Schizosaccharomyces pombe: one gene and its partners. The protein of the gene in region 3 binds, or shares a complex with, the protein of the main gene of each other region. Each region holds a gene or a part of one and is shown on either strand. Other genes may lie near its edges. The genes, in order: mrpl1, mrpl37, mrpl10 and mrpl40.

Region 1 (4,969 bases), on a different chromosome or scaffold from region 3:
TTTTTTGGGTAACGAGGATTACTTCATAAAGACCTTAGACCTTTCCTTTATTTTTTCCACAAAACTATTTATATTCATGAGTTTGTTTTGTAATTGCAATGAATAACTAGCTTGTCATTTACGAAAATTGCATATCAAAAGTATTTGAGTAAAATCGATATCCTGTTTGGCATAATGGTTCAATTTATAAAAAATTCGTGTGGTTAAGAGTAGAAATATATTTTCGATTTTGCGAAATGCTTAATATGCGAAGATATTGTATTTGAGTACTTCAAAAGAATACAACGCACAGTAAACCTTTTCTTTCAATAAATTATCAGGTAGAGGTGGCCTTATTACTGTTTTTTAATAATTTTTATGCTTAAATACCTATTGGAAGCAAGAAGTAATTATGATTACCAAAATTGACTCACTTCCAAAGGACCTAATTCGCAAAGTTGAAAATGGTGAAAAGTTGTTGCCAAATCAAGAAATCGTTTATTTTGAAGAAAAAACAGTCCCCTATAAAATTAGAAGTGATGAGGAAAGTTTTCCTTTGGGCAAATTGATAACTTTATTAGTAACTTCACAGAGCTTTATCCTTTTTGATGAAGAACAGAATTCTGGCTGGAAAATTCCATATGAAACCATTACTCTTCATGCGAAACAAAGCAAGGATAAGCCATATGTATATGTTCAATTAGAGGGTGAAGCCATTCGACCCTTGCTAGATCACATTCTTAAATTTGAACGGTCGTCAGGAACATTGCATGAAGCTCCTTCTACCGAAGATGAAAATGAATTCACAGATGATTTTTTAGAACTAACATTATATGTTACTGATGTTGATTCATGTTACCAGGCTCTTTGTACTTGCCAATCTCTACATCCGGACACTTTTTCCTCAGATAATGATGTTGAAAACGCGAGTATGGGAAACCCTATGTCCTTATTTTTTGATCCAAATCACCAGTGGGTTACGGCTGAAAACGTAGATACCTCAGCTTGTGATAACAGATTTGATTCTCCGGAATCGCCTGTTCTGAAATGGCATCGCACAGAGTAACTTTCATAATGTTGTATTCTAACGTTTCATTCATACTTTTTAAAAAGTAGTTTATGATAATAAATAAATATAAACAGGCTTCTAAATTTACTAGATAAAATATCATTACACATTTCACTAATTTGTACAAAATTAATCATGTAATACATATTACAAATGACAAGACTGTAGACTAAATTTCCCATGCAATAACATTTTAATCATTATTTATACTGGAGAGGAATTGCAATAGCATGTGAGGCGGAAAGATGAACATGCTTTACGGTAACTTTAACTTTTCCAGGCAGTTTGGCCAAAGTAAACCGAACATTTGATACAAGTGCTTCGATGTTTTCTTGTAGCTCCTTGTCGCTGAACCCTAGTTTTCCAACCGGCAAATTTATCGAGCCTGCATCATTTTGCCGATAGTCAACAGCTGTGAGGGCAGATTCAATGAGTGGCTTCAATTCATCTGATATAGTACCTCGTTTTATTGAAGGCATAAGACGTTTTGATCCTAATAATTTAGCAACTTGTGGTAGTAATTCTGCCGAGTTGGGATGAGCAAAGCACTTTGAAAATTCAAGGGGCTCTGTTTGAATTTTTTTTACTAAGTCTTCTGCACCAACATAGGTTGCACCCAATTTTAAAGCTTCATCTGCAGCTGCACCTTTAGCAAACACACAAATTTTAGGAGGCTCTTGAAATGGATGAGGAAAGGCAATTTGACCACGAGCTGACGGAGCGCGTCGATTACTTTTTAAAGCAATTGAAAGCATATAAGACCCAACATATGGAACAGAAATGCTCACAGATTTGAGATATTTTGTGGCTTCAGGAACTGTCATCGCAAGAGCGGGAAAATTGGATTTCTTGTTTAGTTGAGAAATAAACCTTTTGCAGAAACCCTTTTGATTTTTAAAATTTAAAAATTCATTATGTGACAATAATGTTTGCCGTTTACCTAACGCTATTAATGAACTCATGGTTTTTAATCTGGTTCGTCAAACTGTCACCAAGCTACTGGATGTCAGTCAATGAACCTGCTAAAATCATAAATCTCTAAACAAATCTGATCCAGCTGTCAACTTTCGAATTAATAAAGAATTATCTTTCAAATCAAATTTCCTTATAATGTTTTTGATTAAAGACTAAAAATAAACGGTTTCGTTTAAATTCCACGTTGTGGTAGTTGTAAGATACTGTAGGGTTATACTAGCAAATCCATCCGTTCACGATGTATATATTTTAAGGAGTTAAAAGTTTGTTCATCGGAGTTTTGAGGGATATAGCATTATGAATTTTGTTTCATAGTTATATCTTCACCGCATCTTGTTAAATCTGCGTCAACTGAATAGTTGTTGGTGAATTGTTGTTAACCTTTGTTGTTGATAAAAAATTTTCCTTATTTGAATCTTTAATATGATAGGAATTCATTTTTTGGATATTGGATGTAGCTTCTGGATAGCTGTCCATGTACCCGACAAGTGAAAGCATGTTCGTTGACTCATTACAGTCCTCATCTTGGAAATGTGAGGGCTCAACTGTTACGTACGTAAGAGTTGTACAGGTTGTTGCTCTTGCTCTTGGCACAAAGTATGCATTACTCAGCTTTTTGTTGTGAAGCATGTCTTGTATCTTCTTCAAGTTGGTGGCTGTTGAACCCATCTTAGCAGACCCTCGGTTATTTAGTTTTGTGTTAGCATGGAATACCAATGGTTTTAACAAGTTTCCTTGTTCTCCGTCATGGCTCAATTTTCCTGCTTCTTTCTTTATATCCAAGTTGCCTGATAACTGTCCACTAAGTTCCTTATTTTCTTGCTTACAGTTAACATATTCATTTGTCTGACTGGGTTCTTTGTTTTCACCAGTCTTAGGCTCATTCTTATTTTCAACCTTACTTGAAAGGGTCGTGGGATTCTCAGAGATTTTGTTTGTAGAAGACTCTATTGGCTTTCGGATGGTAACAGTAGAGCTTCTTTCTGGTTTGACGAACAAAGCTTTGTTGTCTTGCTGCGCTGTTTGTTCTGAAGTAGGTTTGTTTGCAAAAAATGCTTGCAATCTACGAATTCTGTCAGACTTTCGCTCCGCGAAGCAAACGAAAATCCTTTTTTTCCCAACCATCATTCCATTCAATGTGTCTTTGGCTCTAACGGCAGCCTCTATTTGACGAAACGCTACGAAACCATAACCTTTGGAGATTCCTGAATTTGGATAGCATGCTAACATGGAAGACAAAATCGACCCGAAGGGTGAGAATAAATCTTCCAGCTGACTCTTGCATGTGATGACGGTATCATCTAAATTTTTAACGTATAGATTTGAAGGGTCAATAGGAGAATTAGGGATACTTGGAGAGCTTTCACGTAAAGAGTCCCAATGCACGATTGACTGAGGTTTATTATCTGGGTTCCAAGCGGCTGGATGATTTTGCTGATTTGAAACACCGGTAGTTGAAACGCTACCCCATTGGCTTTTCTCCTTAGTTGGTGAGCCCATAATCCATGTCATCTTCGAACATGTAGCATTTTCGATATTTATTTGAGTTTTGTTAGCGTTTTCCGATGGGAAAGGCCATAAGCTTTCACCAGTCGGCGTTGTGGGAATTGACTTCACTGAAGAAGAGGCTTTATTTTTTATACTGACCTCTAAAATGCTTCCTTTGTATGGAACGTTATTTAATTTTTCTATTGCCTTAATAATGAGGTTAGTATCATGAAATAGATTATGCAAATATTGGGGTTTTCTCTTCATATTGAGCTTACATTTTGACATGATTCAACTGAATCCATAATCACTTCGCCATACCGGAACCCTCTTTGGTCAAGAAACTGGCTGACCGCCGTCCCTTTTACTACACCAGCCTGTTTAAAGTGGTTATATAAGTCAATCGGTGTGACTTCGGCAGGTAGGTTCAAGATACTAAGGGGTAACGTAGAAGCGAAGGCATTTGGTACAACTTGCATGCTAATATCTTCCAAACCAAGAGACGGTATGGTAAGCGTTGTTTCTGGCTTCGGGTTACGCGAATTTATGCCTCTCACAGTTTCCCAATTTCTTTCTTCGACATTTGGAATAAATTCCTTAATCTGAGACTGTTTGAGTCCTGGCTTAACGTTTTCCTCATCTGTATTGTTTTGGATGCTAGGATTGAACACGTTCGCAGTGATTGACGTATCGTTAGGTTTGAATTTTTTGTCTGTCAGTTTCGCAGGATTTACGACTCTTGCTTTAATGGTCCTTTTTTTTAGGTTAGTAATTTTTTGGAGAATGATTTTTCGATTTTTTTTTCTGTAATGCTTGTCTCTAATTTTTCCCTTCAGTCACTTACAATTTTCTTTGGCCCAGAGTCATTCCTTTAGCGTCCTTTAGAACTTCTTCAATGCTTTCAGCATTAACGAATTTGACGAACCCATATTGCACTCCATTTTTAGGAGGTTTAAAAGGTTTCGCTTTTTCCTTAGGATAAAAACTATCAAGTAATCGACGAAAGATGGATTCTACTTGTCCTAAAGAATTGATTAATATATCGCTTTTATTTATGTTTTCTAATGTTTTTCCTCGTGTTTTTATCCTTGACTTGTGTGTTCATACCATATTTTGAAAAGTGTTTGATGATTTCTTCATCAGAAAGTCGGGAATCTATATTTCCTACATATATAGTACTGCTTTCATCTTCATACTGTCCGGGGACAGAGAGTTTTGAATTGTTCATTTTATCTCAAAAAAGATGTGTGATGGAAAGGAATGGTTGTTGTTTTTGGTATATATAGGATCGCTGTTTGTTTACATTTCGATGATGCATGACTGAAACTATTACCACCATAACAAATGAGAGTAAACAAACCTTAAATTGACCTCTTAACATTTTTAGAGTAATATTTTTTGTTTTTTTTTAAAAATGCTTGTTTTATATTTACAACTTGATTTCCTAATATTCATGCA
Region 2 (4,473 bases), on a different chromosome or scaffold from region 3:
ATTGAAGGTATGCAACACAATCTTCGACACTTCCTTCAGGGTGTTTAAATTGCCAGGAAATCATGTTATCCATAGTCTCTTTCAGCTGCGGGCCAGGCTTAACTCCCACATTTTTCATGATCTGTTTTCCCTAAAAAATTGTTAGCTTATTCGCTCAATATTGTTAACAGAAATAAAAGAATTACATACGTCTAATAATGGCTTCATGTTATAAGCATTTTGTAAATTTTTGTCATAAATAAAGTCATATAGAGATTTATAAGAACTAAATGTATTTGATACAGATGCTGCCGGTGTTTTACAACAACTATATATGACCGATGTTAAAAACACGACTTCCCAGGATTTATTCAATTGTCGTATTAAGCTGCCAATAGATGAGCAATTTTTAGTGGAAGTATCGTTAACTAATTCATCGAATATCGGATTGAATGTGCAGCACTGATTCAACTGGTTAACATATGTACTTCTGAGCTTCAACTTGTCTTTTGCGATGATTGCAGGAATATAAAATTGTTTTTTCTTAACCATAACAGTTTGACTAGACCATGGAATTAGAGCAACATATAGCCATAGCCCAATTTTCTCATCTTCACTTAATTTCATAAGTTTAGGAAACGTCAATGCAAGACTCTGAAATAAAGACTCGGTAGCTTCCAATGCCTTTGGAATTTGAAATTCTTTTTCAGCTGGCAAAGTATCGAACGTAAACTGATACGTGTTCGTTGAATATAACAGTTGAAGTGCTAGCTTCGCGTTTGCACCCTTCAACATTTTCTCAATTTCCTCTCCTACACGTTCCTTGCTAACCTTTTTTTCAAAAGCTTTACATACTTTCGGATCTTGGATAGCGGAAACGACCGACGGATCAATTGTAAATTCAAATCTGGATGCAAACCGAATGCCTCTCAAAATTCGTAAGGGATCTTCCAAAAATGATTGGAGAGGTGAAATGGGCGTGACCAACACTTTGGTTTGCAAATCTTTATATCCTCGCTTTGTAATGTCCTCTATTTTTTCTGTTCGTATGTTAAAGAATAGGGTGTTAACCGTGAAGTCTCTTCTCAATGCATCTGTTTCAACAGTTCCTGGGGTAACGCTAGGAATTCGACTTTTATCATCATATGATTCTGCACGAAGTCCTACAAAATCAATATCAAGGTCAAATAGGGATAAGGTAGCAGTTTCTAAATGCTTGCTTTGATCGGGATTGACAGTTAGCTTGCCAAGTGCGTCTTTATATGGAATAACTGAGTCAGAGTCGAGAGAGTGAACATACTCAAATATTGAATTTGCAAAGTCAACACCGGTAACTTTATTCAACGTAACGTCTAAATCGTCACTAGAAAGCCCAAGAAGTTTATCGCGAACCCATCCTCCTGCCAATCTAACTTCCAATGACGAACTGCTGCTGGATTTAGATTCAATAAAATCAGCAGTCTTTTTCAAAAGATTAACAACTTTTTTCTCAACATCGTTCAATACAATTCTAGAATACATTTTCGTCAGCCAAATTCCATAAACGATACACAGTTTGGGCAATACCGGTTTCTCTAAGGTTGGCAGGTTGAGGTTTGAATATGCTTCTCTTAAAGAAGGACATGTAGTAGTAATTTTTTTTATGCTACAAATGTATATCACTGATATAAGGTTATTTAATATATTTTTATTTTAAAATGATTTTTGGATTCTGGGAAATGGTAAAGTAGCGAATGTCATATGCCTCAAAAAAAGTAAACAAAAAGAATGGATCAAATGCTCATAAGGATAGAGAGGAGATGGAAAATTAAGAGTTTCAAACATTCTAAAAGGTAATTATTTTTTAGTAAGAAAGTTAGCCGCTCGAATGGCACTTTTACGAGCATGACTTCGGGCAGTCTTAGAATTGGGAGCTGGCTCATCCAGAAGAGACCATAACCATTCTGGATATTCATGATCTTCACGAGCTACAGGGTCGACGCCACCCGCCTTTATACACAGTCCCTTTAATATAGTACCTGGAAGGACAGAACTAGTGTGCGTTTTATTAGCGACTTTTTGAGCTGAAGAAGTGGCATCCGAATTATGCTGTGGCTTTTTGGGTGAAACACGAGAGGATACATAACTTCGTTTAACTAATGATGAAGAAGAGTTACGGGAACTTCTTAAAACCAATGTGTTAGAGTAGCATGAGAATTGAGAGATACCGCGAGTAATTGCGCGCGATAAAGGGGCCATTGACTCGATAAATGGCATTGCTTAGACAGTAAACAAAAAACTTTGCAAGGAGGATAAAATCTTTAACCAAAAGTGGATCAAAGGCGATGAAAAAGGTCAATAGTAACGCCTTCGCATATATAAGGAGCAAATACGTCCTGCTCTTTGAGTGAAAAGTTTTAGAGAATAATATTATTTCAAGTACTATAGGAAATAAAAAATGACTCTATAAAGAGCCGCTTTCAAAGTTCAAGGAGTTTGGTTATGGGACAACCTGGACGTTACTATACAACTCATGTACAGATGGGTAGCAGACACAGGTACATGTAAGGGTTTCAAGCGTCTGTTTACAATTTGGGAATCAAAATAAAATTTTTGTTTTTGTTTTTTTCATAATTATAAACTATTGCTAAGTTCAAATGGGGTGTCGTTCTAACAAGAATGTCATTAAGTTTACAATAATAATACCAAGCACGCTTGAGTACTATAGGAATACTTATGAAATAAAGTAAAGCACAATCTATCAAGTGAGACTCTAGAAATGTTAATCGAAAATTGTATTTGTCTGTGTTCGACTATGTAAGAAAGTCAAAGAAATAAAATAATATGATTTATTTTTACAATAAATCATTAGCACATTAGAATATTTCTACTTCATTCATTTTTCTCAACTTGCAATGTTTCTTCGACAATCACTTGATTGTTGTAAATGGTAAAGAACCATTAGGTGTTATTTGGGATATTGAGGAACAATCTAGTAGTACGGTTTAAATAAAGAGAACATATATAGATTTTAGAATTAGTATTCAATTATGTTTAACGTTATGTCCTTCATTCGATACGTCAGAATTACCATTTTTTTTACTTGCGAAATGTACTTATTCCACACAGTTAGCGACTGATCCATTGAGGATCGAGAAGCGCTTGCAATCACTTTTTGTTAAAGAAAAATAGATTTACAATAAATTTGACAAATTGTACTAGTCGGTGTCTTAAGTCACTCGGGACAATTGAAAAAAATAAATCACTGACTTGCGAACTCTTCTTAGTTAATAGTTACACCTTTATGGGTGTTTTCTTAAAATTTCGCCAAGTTTTACTTTAGATAGAACATAAATCATTTAAAGTATTATCCATCTCATGAAAACAATAAAAAATCTGCAAGAAGATCAATAAACAAGCTTTAACCATCAGGTTATTCTCTTACTAGAATTTCATTATTTGCCTCGATAAATTCCTATAACATATTTCTCTAAGGCTCTTCGATATTCATTTTACAAATAAAAAAAATCATGCCGACAACGGCAGGATTCGAACCTGCGCTCCCAAAGGGAATCCGCTGGGCTACAGAATAGCAGGCGAACGCCTTAAAACCACTCGGCCACGTTGTCCTCCGTTGAGACGATTAGTATTAAGTAGATTATGTATTTAAATTTAATAAATTTATAAGAGATTATTTAGTGTACCGAAATAGTTTTAAATTCATTTATTTAGTATATTTTTGCTTATAACATTTCCGGTTCATTTTGGAAACGATTTAAATAAAGAAATTTTACAATTTTGTAAAAATGTATGCTTTCAATGTACAATTACGATTTTCCCTATTTTGCTTTTCTTACACTGAAGGAAATGCTTGTGATTTCCTCGATCAATATTTGATATCCTATTTTTTTCCCTCATTTATTTTCTGGGGGTTTTTTTTTCTTTCATCCTGTAGAGAAATTGTATATACTTTCTGTTTATTTCTATATTACTATAAGATGGGGATTTAGTTTTAAATAGTAATGAACCAAATTAAATTACATTGAACTTATCAATAGTATTATGCTTTGTGCTTCTGCGATTTATTTTTTTTATTTTTTAAAATTATTTTAATTTATTTTTGATGATTCGGGATTGCTTGTTAAAATATTCTCTTGTCAGCTTTCTACATAGTGCCATTTAAATATAGGTAAAAGATATTGCAATTGAAATCAACATATCTCCTAGCACAATATTAACCATTTGCGAATCCATTTAATAAATAATGCCTATTCCTACCATATGCATTAAAAAAAAAAAAAAAAAAAAAAAAAAAACACTTTGAATATTTATTTAAGCAAAAAGTATAATGTTTAATAAATGGTTCCATGAGATTTGATAAACTGTTCATTTGATGGTGTTTGACCTTTATATACTGCTTTAAATACACGTTGGAATTATCACAAAGAACAAGAACTTGTTCAGAGCTAGGATTCGAAAATAGAAATAAGTATATTTACACTGAATAAGTTTACT
Region 3 (4,628 bases):
CTGGTTGAGCGACAATCATTCCACGTTTTAATTGCTCTCGCTTGATAGAACGAAGTAAAAGGCCACAATTGTCACCGGCAACGGCGGCATCAAGCTGCTTTTTGAACATTTCAATTCCAGTAACGGTAGTCTTTAAATGGCTACCATAACCGACGATTTCGATTTCAGCACCCTTCTTTAAAGTACCGCGCTCGACACGGCCAGTGACTACAGTTCCGCGACCTGAAATTGAAAAAACGTCCTCGATGGCCATCAAGAAAGGGACATCCGTTTTTCTTTCAGGAAGAGTAATATAACTATCAACAGCTTCCATCAATTTAGTAATACTATTGAGACCAATCTCAGGCTCACGACCCTCTAAGGCACATAAAGCACTGCCGCTAACAATTGGAGTATTGTCACCATCAAATCCGTATTCGGAGAGTAGCTCACGCATTTCCATTTCGACAAGCTCGATCATATCAGGCTCGACCATATCGACTTTATTGATGTATACAACAATTTGCTTTACACCGACTTGACGAGCCAGAAGCAAATGTTCACGAGTTTGAGGCATTTGACCATCGGTAGCAGAAACAACAATGATAGCGCCATCCATTGTAGCAGCACCAGTAATCATATTCTTAATGTAATCGGCGTGACCAGGACAATCCACATGGGCATAGTGACGATTAGCAGTTTCGTATTCAACATGGGCAGATGAAATGGTAATACCACGTGCCTTTTCCTCGGGGGCCTTGTCAATTTGACTATAATCCATAAAACTAGCTTGACCAAGATCAGAAAGGCATTTAGTAATAGCAGCCGTCAACGTCGTTTTACCGTGGTCAACATGACCAATAGTACCAATATTGACATGCGGCTTTTTTCTAACGAACACCTTAAAAAAGTTAACAAGTAATCAAAAAGATGAAGAATGAAAAAAAAATACCTTTTCGTCAGCATAAGTTCGAGCTGGGACGGTGAACCGGTTAATCAAACCTGAAGCGAAAGAAATGCGGTTCAATCGCAAGCAATTTTTTCTAAAGCCTTGAAAGAGGAGAGAGGTAGCTTTAGCTGAATTCATAACGAAGGGAGCGTGTAGGCAGAGGAGAGGTCTCTGGCGCTCGTGTTGTCCTTGAAATAAGTCTCAGCGGTGCGCATCGTTATGAGAATACTATTGACACGAGCATTTCATGAAATAAATGGTCCTGGGTGTTTGGATACAATCAATATTTGTAGAATTTATTTTATTTTGTTCTATTTTACCGCTACGCCTATATATGATGATACGCTTGTTAATAATAAAAAAATACTAGATGAACTAGTGAACAACACCGCCAAATCGAAAGCAATTGATAGTTTTTTTTTATTTGCACAATGAATGGTATTATGTCTCTGATCTCTAAAGGAATGTCAATCTGATTTTGCTAGATCGCAAGAGCAACCACCATGCAAGCAAAAATCGCTTACTATCCTGTCAAGTACAAAGAATAAAACCATTAATGAAAAGTCTCAATGACAAAGCTCAGCGTCTCGTGAATGTTGGTTAACTTCGAAGAGTCTTTTGCTTTTATTAAGTAAAAGGATGTAAGGAATAACAAGAAGTGGTGCGTGACTAAAGAAAGATAAAACTATCCATCCAACGGAATAAAGGAAAATCAAACTTTTCTGTAATATAGAATACTCAAATCAAAAGTCGTTACTATTGTACGAAGAAGCACCTCTAAAGCGAAAAATTTTAAACAAAAGAATGAGATAAAAATATGTAGATAGCTTTGTATAGTAATTTTATTCGTTCCTTTAATTACGAGGTGGAGCAATCAAAATAACCGAATCACCTAAAGTTCATTAGCATTTGGCGAAAAAGGAAAAACAGTTTCGAAAAGGAAAGCTTAATCATGGTCAAACTTTTCGAGCGTAATATTTAGAATCTACGTACCACGAACAAAGAGCATCTCATAATGTTTGCGAATCGTTTTTAAGGCCTTGTCCTTATCGGTCTCTTCATCATCAAAAATAGTTACAATTTCTTCAGCATCTCCTAGTACCATATTCTAAAATACGTGTAAGTAATCCATCCAAATGCGAGTTATGAATATGATTCATACCAAATGTTCATCATAGGCCTACAATCGAGTTAGTATAACCAATTCAGAATAAGAAAAATATTCAAGAAACGTTAAAAAAATTTCATACATGAAGACGGCCATTTAATTCTCTATCTCCCCGTAATTTTACATAAACGATTTCATCCAAAGAAAGCCTCACCAAATCAAGAGGTTCCGCGACCTACAAACATTAGTTACCGAGTTACTGTTGATAAATCTTACTGCCTGTGCCGATTCCATTATAAAGTAAAGGGTTATTATATCTACCAAGCAAGATCGCTGTTGCTGCAATTATGCACTGGCATATGTCAGGAAGAAATAAAGGAGGAAACAAATTCGAATTGCGCAGTGCAGCGATGCTGAATATAGTAATAAAGATATTTTTATGAGACGCTATAGAATTTTACGTATTCGTGTGTGTCCGAATCTTTTGTAATAGTAAACAGCAGCCTTGGACTTATTACCATCTAAACTCGACGAAACCCGTTTTTTGAATTGGAAAATGTTTAATATTTTATCTCGGGTTTGTCGCAGTTCTTCATTTCATGGTTTTTTGAGATCCTCTGGTTATCCAAGATTTGGTGCTAGTTTCCGCGGCATCAGTATGTTGAATGATTTAAACAACAGTGCAAATTATCAGTCAAAGAAGCGAGTGGGTAGAGGCCCTGCGAGCGGTTTAGGAAAAACCTCTGGACGTGGTCATAAAGGATCTGGTCAAAGGCGTGGACGGAGAATTAAACCTGGTTTTGAAGGTGGTCAAACTCCTATCACCAAATTATTTCCTAAAGTTGGTCACAGTACGGGACATTTGAAGAAACCGTTGCGTCTGGGGTTAGGGAGAGTTCAGGAATGGATTGATCGTGGTAGATTGGATGCTAGCAAGACAATTACTATGAAAGACCTCCTCGATAGTAGATGCTGTAGAGGTATTAAACATGGAGTTGAACTTACTGCTGACGAACCTGGACTCCTTAAAACAGCAATTTCCATAGAAGTTTCTAAGGCTACAGTTCAAGCTATACAACAAATCAAAAATGCAGGCGGCAGTATAACAACAGTATATTTCAGCCCGTTGGCGCTACGTGCCCATTTGCATCCTTCAAGTTTTCGTACACCTCCTCGCCCTCCCCTTCCAGTTTCAAAGAAAGACATACGCTACTACACAAATCCACATTTTGCAGGGTATCTTGCCAACGTTAAAAATATTCGAGAGCTATATTATGGCGACCAACGATTCCCCTACGAACCGATTGTTAAAGATAAATAAGTAGTTCCCATATTACATCAGAACTTGATATATGTTCATCAAAAATCCCGCTTTCCTAATATGTCCTTAAAACTTTGTTATGTCTATTGATGATTCCGTGCAGCCTCCTTTACTTTCTTGGATGGGTTACATGTTGAGTTTTGTAAGGAAATATCTGCATCCTTTTCTTAGTACATTTGTATAATTACGTTTCCAATTTCGGTGTTTGAGCTCTCTACTGACTTTTTCGCTTACAGTTCAATACCCATTAGTAATATTTTGAATACCTTTCTCATTCGAAAATATAGCTTCCTTCTTTATCCCCCAAATCCCCTTGTTGTAGTCAGTTCATTCTCTGTCAGATAAACCCTTTCTCACATTTATTCATTTGCTTCATTAGTAGATTTGAGCATTCGCAGTCATGCACTTTTTTTGTATAATCAAGAACCCCTGCCGACTGTTTGTTAAATTATTATCTTTTGCCTTTTTTTGTTTAAAGCTTTCTTAAAATTTTTTCATCCTCCGATTGTCTATCCAACAGGAAAAGATCTTTCAAAGGATCTCCTTTTCAAAGGCATGCAAGGAAGAAGAAAAAGAACATTTGTTGATCAATGGAACGGTTAAAGACTTATATATAAGAATGACTAAGAAAACCGGCATTTGTAATAGAAGTGTAAGCGAACCATAGTAGTACATTAACCTTATGATCAATTAATCTACATAAACGGTCAATTCTAAAAAAAATAATACATATTGACTGGGAAACTCCTTATTTCATATATTAGAAAGGGACATTTATCAACTCTCCAATTAGTGCACTAAAACGCAGTATGGAAGGAACGATGCTAAGAACTGCTTCAACACTTTGTCAATAAACCAACAATGTCGGCTCCGTCGCCGTTTATTAAGAAACTTGCAGCTAATGGTAAATTTCTTACATATAAATGATTAATGTACTAACACTGTAAGATCGAAAAACTCGTGATAAGGCTCTTGAATCGTTGCAGCGGTTTTTAAGCCAAAAGAAAAAATTTGAAAGGTTAGACTTTCTCAAGCTTTGGAAGGGCTTATTTTACTGTATGAATTTTTTTGGGTTATGAATGTAAATCATCTAATTGTTTTTTAATATGCAGGCATGTGGATGGCTGATAAACCCTTATACCAACAGAAACTCTCAGATAATTTAGCCGCGTTGGTTCCAATTGTCTGGATAGACAATAGAATATTATTTCAATCTACTTTTTGGGAAACTATGGGTCGTGAATGGACGGGAATTGATATTTTACGAACAG
Region 4 (4,669 bases), on a different chromosome or scaffold from region 3:
CCTTGAATTTGAGGCGTTTGAATAAATAATGATTGAAAGGCTCGAGCAACAGTCATACCAAGTCTCGTTGAGAAATTGTTGATTATCAGTTCTGGAATATGACCAGTGGAGCGGCCATGATTTGAAATTTCCTTTGCTGTTTGGAGATTCGATAAGGTAAAATAGAACGAAGGGCCATTCGGTAAGTGTACAAGGGTTAATGCATTTGTTTTTTTACGATCCTCATTTAATACCAGTAAATCGGTGTAACCACGCTTAGCAGCGGCTTCTGCGATTTCATGAACTTCAATATCTCCGGTTCTTTTTCGAAATTCAGCATTAGGAAAACAATCTAAAAGCTCAGATGCAAAATCATAGCATTTTCTAGAGGCTCGTTTACTCGTGGTTACCAAAAGTTTCGGAACTTTCCTTTCTTCACTAAAGTATGCAGAAAACTCATCATCTTTTAACTCCGCCTGAAGTTCCTCATCGGGTTTATCCTCTATGATAGTTTCATCATAAACTCGTTTCGATTCAATAGTAGCGGGAATATTTTCTGAAAGTCGCAATCTCTTCTTTTCCGGGTCTTTTTCTTCTTCTTTAGCACGTTCTTTTCTTCTTTCAAGCTTGTCCTTATTTTTTTGATGAAGAGCCTTCATATACTGCTGTTGGCGGACAATTTTGTTTTTAATCTTCCCCATTTTAATAAGTTGCGTATAATCTCTCAAAATTTAAAATTTAAGAATGAAATAATTTAAATCCTTACAAAAAATTGCAACTAAAAAAAATTGAGATAAGAATGAGCAACTTAAGTACAAATAAAAGAGAGTTAAAAAAAAGTATACGATGGGTTTGAAGTCTCAAAAACTTATTGCACAATCCAATTCCATGTCGCAAAATACCGAATCTGAAGAACATGCTACGAATTTCGTCAAATTTGCTTAAAAGTATTAACGCAGTATTATATCACACTGCTGTTAAGCAAAATGTATACTTTAGTTACAATTACTGTTTGTAAATAGGTGATATTACAATCCGAAATCGTACACTATAGATATCCTCATCATTAAATTGTTGAACAACTGAAAGCATTGTGGTAAGGGTTCAACATTCTACAAATCACTCACGCTACTTTCATTTTCACATTTGAATGCGTGCTTTGAATGGAACTAGCAGAAATGAAAGGGACGATAGTCTTTTAATTTCATTTCTTTACTTTCTTTTTACTTTCTTCTGAACTGAATTGCTATATTGATAAATTAAATAATGTTCTGGATAACCAGAACGAATCAGAACGTGTCTTTTAATAGCAAAATTTTTCAAAACCAAAAGCCAATGAACAATGTAAGCAAAAAGGAGGAGGAAAACAGATTAGGGAATTCATATAGAGCGTATTTTCAGAAAGGTTATTTGTATACCTTTTTAAGTCCTAGCCTCGCTCATGTCGAGTACTTGAACCATACCTCGGTTTTTGGTCTCATTTCGGACAAGTTCATCTATCAACTTATAATTCCCTGGAATCACGAGAGCTATGCACTCATATTCATCATCAATGTTTTCTTCTTCAATTTCATCAGCTAAAGAGCGTAAACGCTCTCGTAAAGCTTTTCCCTGTTTGACATCCACCACTATTCTGATGCGCATACGCGCACGGACGATAGGAATTTCGTTTTTTTCTTGCAATTTCTTAATAGCTTCCAGAGCTTGGGACTTTGCAGTTTTACTGGTAGAGACAGAAAAGCCACAATCAGATAATGCTTTTTCAATTATAGATGCTGGATAAGGTCGTTTAGAATTAGGATCCATGCACATCGCAGTAACATGGGAGACAATATCGCGATAAGTTGAAGACATTTGATGATGTCTTTCCTTTTCACCTACTTGAAAATCTCCTTTTTGCAAAATTTCTAAAATAATTTTATCTATATCATCTGTACCAAAAGCCTTTTTCAAATCCTGTCGGCTAGCTACATGTCCTTTAGAAACATTGTTAAACACATTGTGGATTTGTAAAACTTCATCCAGATCTGTTTCACTAAACTTGGTTAGCTATGGTTTTGATCAAAAAAAATTGTACGAGTTATTGAGTTGTTGACACCAGTCGACAAGACACGTGAATTCAAAAAGATAGCTTGTTATAATTTTCTGCTGATCTTAAAGAATATTTATCTGTAGCAAAGGCTGACTCTCACTAATTACAGTAGCTTAATTTAATGAAATCATGCATACATTTTGTTTCTCCATTCTGTAACTTTATTTTTATAACAAGCAACTTCAAATCTTTTCCCTCCTTTCTTATATTTTACAACGGACACATTGGTTAGACGAATTTGTCCAACAGGTTGACTAATAACCATTTTGCTCAAGATGGGTACTTTTTTGGATTATTTTTTGTTATTCTCACCTTCTCTAATTATAGTGTTTTAATCCAACGCCTAAATCTGTTAAACAGGTTAACAATCCATACACTATATATCGGTATTTAGATTTATCTGAAAATTAAACAAAAATTTGATATTTGCGAGCCTGAAAGGCAAAAGGATGGTTCCAATCATTTTTCGGATGTTAACATAATCTTGGAAAACCTTATGGTTAAATATTTAATATAAGTGCAAGTTATTTGTCGGGTTTTCTAAACCAGTTTACAAATCACGAATGATATTAGGCTTTTAAAAATTATTACCTAAATTCAGCAAATACTAAAAAAAAAGTAGAAAACAATAGAAGTATCGACTAAGTTTGAGTTATCCGACAAAACTTCAATCTTACATCCTAGTATATTAACACAACCACTTGCGAAGCGTTTCTATACGATTTCGCTTAACATTTTCAATTTTAAACTTATAAACAAATAGATAGAATGACATTGTCTTAACGAGTACACATCATTTTAATGTTGGTTAACGATGTCGAAGCTGTAGAATATTGCGTGCAAAAGCAAAAGCAAATTTTAAATAATGAAACTTAACCACGTATCGCAAAGTTGCCTTTGTGTAACAATGATCCATTTCTTTACTTATTGACGAAGAGAGTACTCAAATAACAACTGCAAACTACCAGCAGGATACACATTACTGTTTCATAGCATTCTTATTTTTTCTCTTATATTTGGCCATATTTATCCTGTCTAGAGGTTTTACTTTCGTTCCAACATTACAGCGTAGTAAATTCCTCTGTACAAGTGATGTACCACCGTTAGTTATTTAAATATTATAAAACTTTTTGAGCAGAATGAGAGACTTGCGTAAATTAATTCCAAGGCTCCGAGGCCCTGGTACTAACGTCTTAAAAATGAAAAAGCCTTTACCGTTGCATATGCGAACCAAAATACGCGAACACCTCAATAAATCTGATCCAACTGTTAAAGACGATAAATCCGCTAAACCCGAGTTACCGTTTGGAAAGCCAGCTGACAGAGTCCCTTTCTGGCATATTTTTAAAGGGGATTATGTATATGTTCATCAAGGACCTCTGAAAGGAAAATGGGGCCGTGTTGTTGAGACAAACAAATACACAAACGGTATTACCATAGAGGGGGTTAATGTGAGATCCGTCAAAGTACCAATTTTTCTTTTGCGAAATAAGCCTGAAGATAACCAAGATCCAGTAATTGATATTGCTCACGAAGTACATTATGCAAATGTGCGTCTTCTTGCGCATGCAAAGACTGACGCCGGGGAACCAGTTCTTATTCCAGTTAAGCTTAAAAAGCATTCCTCAACTAATCTCCGGTCCATTATTCGGCCTAATATTGAAGGAGTACAAATTCATACTATTCATCTTCCTCGTCCCAAGACTGAAGATAAGCCTAAAGATCCCGAAGGTAAACTCGATACTAAGAATCCAGTAGTTAGTAAAGTTACTTGGTCTCCTAGCTTATCGGAGCCTCCTCTTCCTCCGTTTGCAATTGGCGATTTACGAGCCAATTGGTCTCGCCGTTTAGATCGTATATGGGGATATAAAAAGAACAATGATGATTTTACTGAAATTGCTAAAGATCTTGTCCGAGCAGAGACTGCTGCTGAAGATTTAATAAAAAAACCCATCTCTCCTAATACTTACAGTGATTAAAACAAAAACGATGTTTGGTCGTTGCAAGCATTTTTTTATAACATTACATAATGATTCACAATCTCTAGGTTATAAAGCTTAATAAACTTTTGTAAACTCTTCTAAAAAATTTTTCAAGAAACTTAAATATATTTAACTTAGTAGAGTAAGTGATAAGTGATTTCAATGAAAGTGAAGTATTTGAAGTTTACACGTTAACCTAGAAAAACTTTTACTAATCAATGTAGAAAATCTATACAAATCAAGATCTTTAAAGTCCATTAATCTCTTGTGCGAAAATTAACGCTTTGCCAGTTCATCCAATCTGGCTTGTAAATTGTCTTCAGTCTTTAACTCCGGTACCGTACCAATTTGGGTCGCAGCATCTGGCAATCCTTGAGACAAATCGACTCCAATTTCATCCAACACTTTATTGACAAGTTCATCAGCTTCCTCTTCGTCATCTTCTTCTAAAGCATCGTCCATATTTTCATCAATCATTTCTTGTCTCTGTTCCATAATTTCATTTTCACGCTCGAATTGCTGAGTGATACGAGCCATTGCCGGTATATTCATGCTTTTGTTCATCCCTGTCAATAACTTTGTAAAAGTTAGTTCTATATTTTTCGATATTAAGGTG

The links.
Region 1: mrpl10 (region 3) and mrpl1 share a complex: the UniProt entries of both Schizosaccharomyces pombe proteins name them as parts of the mitochondrial large ribosomal subunit.
Region 2: mrpl10 (region 3) and mrpl37 share a complex: the UniProt entries of both Schizosaccharomyces pombe proteins name them as parts of the mitochondrial large ribosomal subunit.
Region 4: mrpl10 (region 3) and mrpl40 share a complex: the UniProt entries of both Schizosaccharomyces pombe proteins name them as parts of the mitochondrial large ribosomal subunit.

Annotation. Positions count from the first base shown.
Region 1 is NC_003424.3:1,790,234-1,795,202, forward strand, and holds mrpl1 (mitochondrial 54S ribosomal protein uL1m), read right to left. Parts: upstream 2,219-4,969; 5' UTR 2,011-2,218; coding exon 1,249-2,010; 3' UTR 1,167-1,248; downstream 1-1,166. Other genes in the region: protein saf5, read left to right, coding at 392-1,045; poly(A)-binding protein Crp79, read right to left, coding at 2,360-3,718, 3,790-4,264, 4,356-4,533, 4,619-4,739. UniProt on the Schizosaccharomyces pombe protein: Component of the mitochondrial ribosome (mitoribosome), a dedicated translation machinery responsible for the synthesis of mitochondrial genome-encoded proteins, including at least some of the essential transmembrane subunits of the mitochondrial respiratory chain.
Region 2 is NC_003421.2:1,252,307-1,256,779, reverse strand, and holds mrpl37 (mitochondrial 54S ribosomal protein mL54), read right to left. Parts: upstream 2,463-4,473; 5' UTR 2,236-2,462; coding exon 1,816-2,235; 3' UTR 1,554-1,815; downstream 1-1,553. Other genes in the region: cca2 (ATP/CTP tRNA nucleotidyltransferase), read right to left, coding at 1-130, 190-1,500. UniProt on the Schizosaccharomyces pombe protein: Component of the mitochondrial ribosome (mitoribosome), a dedicated translation machinery responsible for the synthesis of mitochondrial genome-encoded proteins, including at least some of the essential transmembrane subunits of the mitochondrial respiratory chain.
Region 3 is NC_003423.3:1,820,344-1,824,971, forward strand, and holds mrpl10 (mitochondrial 54S ribosomal protein uL15m), read left to right. Parts: upstream 1-2,559; 5' UTR 2,560-2,592; coding exon 2,593-3,357; 3' UTR 3,358-3,614; downstream 3,615-4,628. Other genes in the region: translation elongation factor EF-Tu Tuf1, read right to left, coding at 1-880, 932-1,066; U6 snRNP-associated protein Lsm3, read right to left, coding at 1,783-1,820, 1,922-2,036, 2,091-2,108, 2,179-2,271, 2,313-2,330; Nop52 family nucleolar protein, read left to right, coding at 4,219-4,261, 4,306-4,413, 4,470-4,628. UniProt on the Schizosaccharomyces pombe protein: Component of the mitochondrial ribosome (mitoribosome), a dedicated translation machinery responsible for the synthesis of mitochondrial genome-encoded proteins, including at least some of the essential transmembrane subunits of the mitochondrial respiratory chain.
Region 4 is NC_003424.3:2,670,770-2,675,438, forward strand, and holds mrpl40 (mitochondrial 54S ribosomal protein uL24m), read left to right. Parts: upstream 1-3,023; 5' UTR 3,024-3,210; coding exon 3,211-4,050; 3' UTR 4,051-4,169; downstream 4,170-4,669. Other genes in the region: Brix domain-containing protein Rpf1, read right to left, coding at 1-680; SBDS family ribosome maturation protein Sdo1, read right to left, coding at 1,402-2,014, 2,209-2,336; ESCRT III complex subunit Did4, read right to left, coding at 4,330-4,629. UniProt on the Schizosaccharomyces pombe protein: Component of the mitochondrial ribosome (mitoribosome), a dedicated translation machinery responsible for the synthesis of mitochondrial genome-encoded proteins, including at least some of the essential transmembrane subunits of the mitochondrial respiratory chain.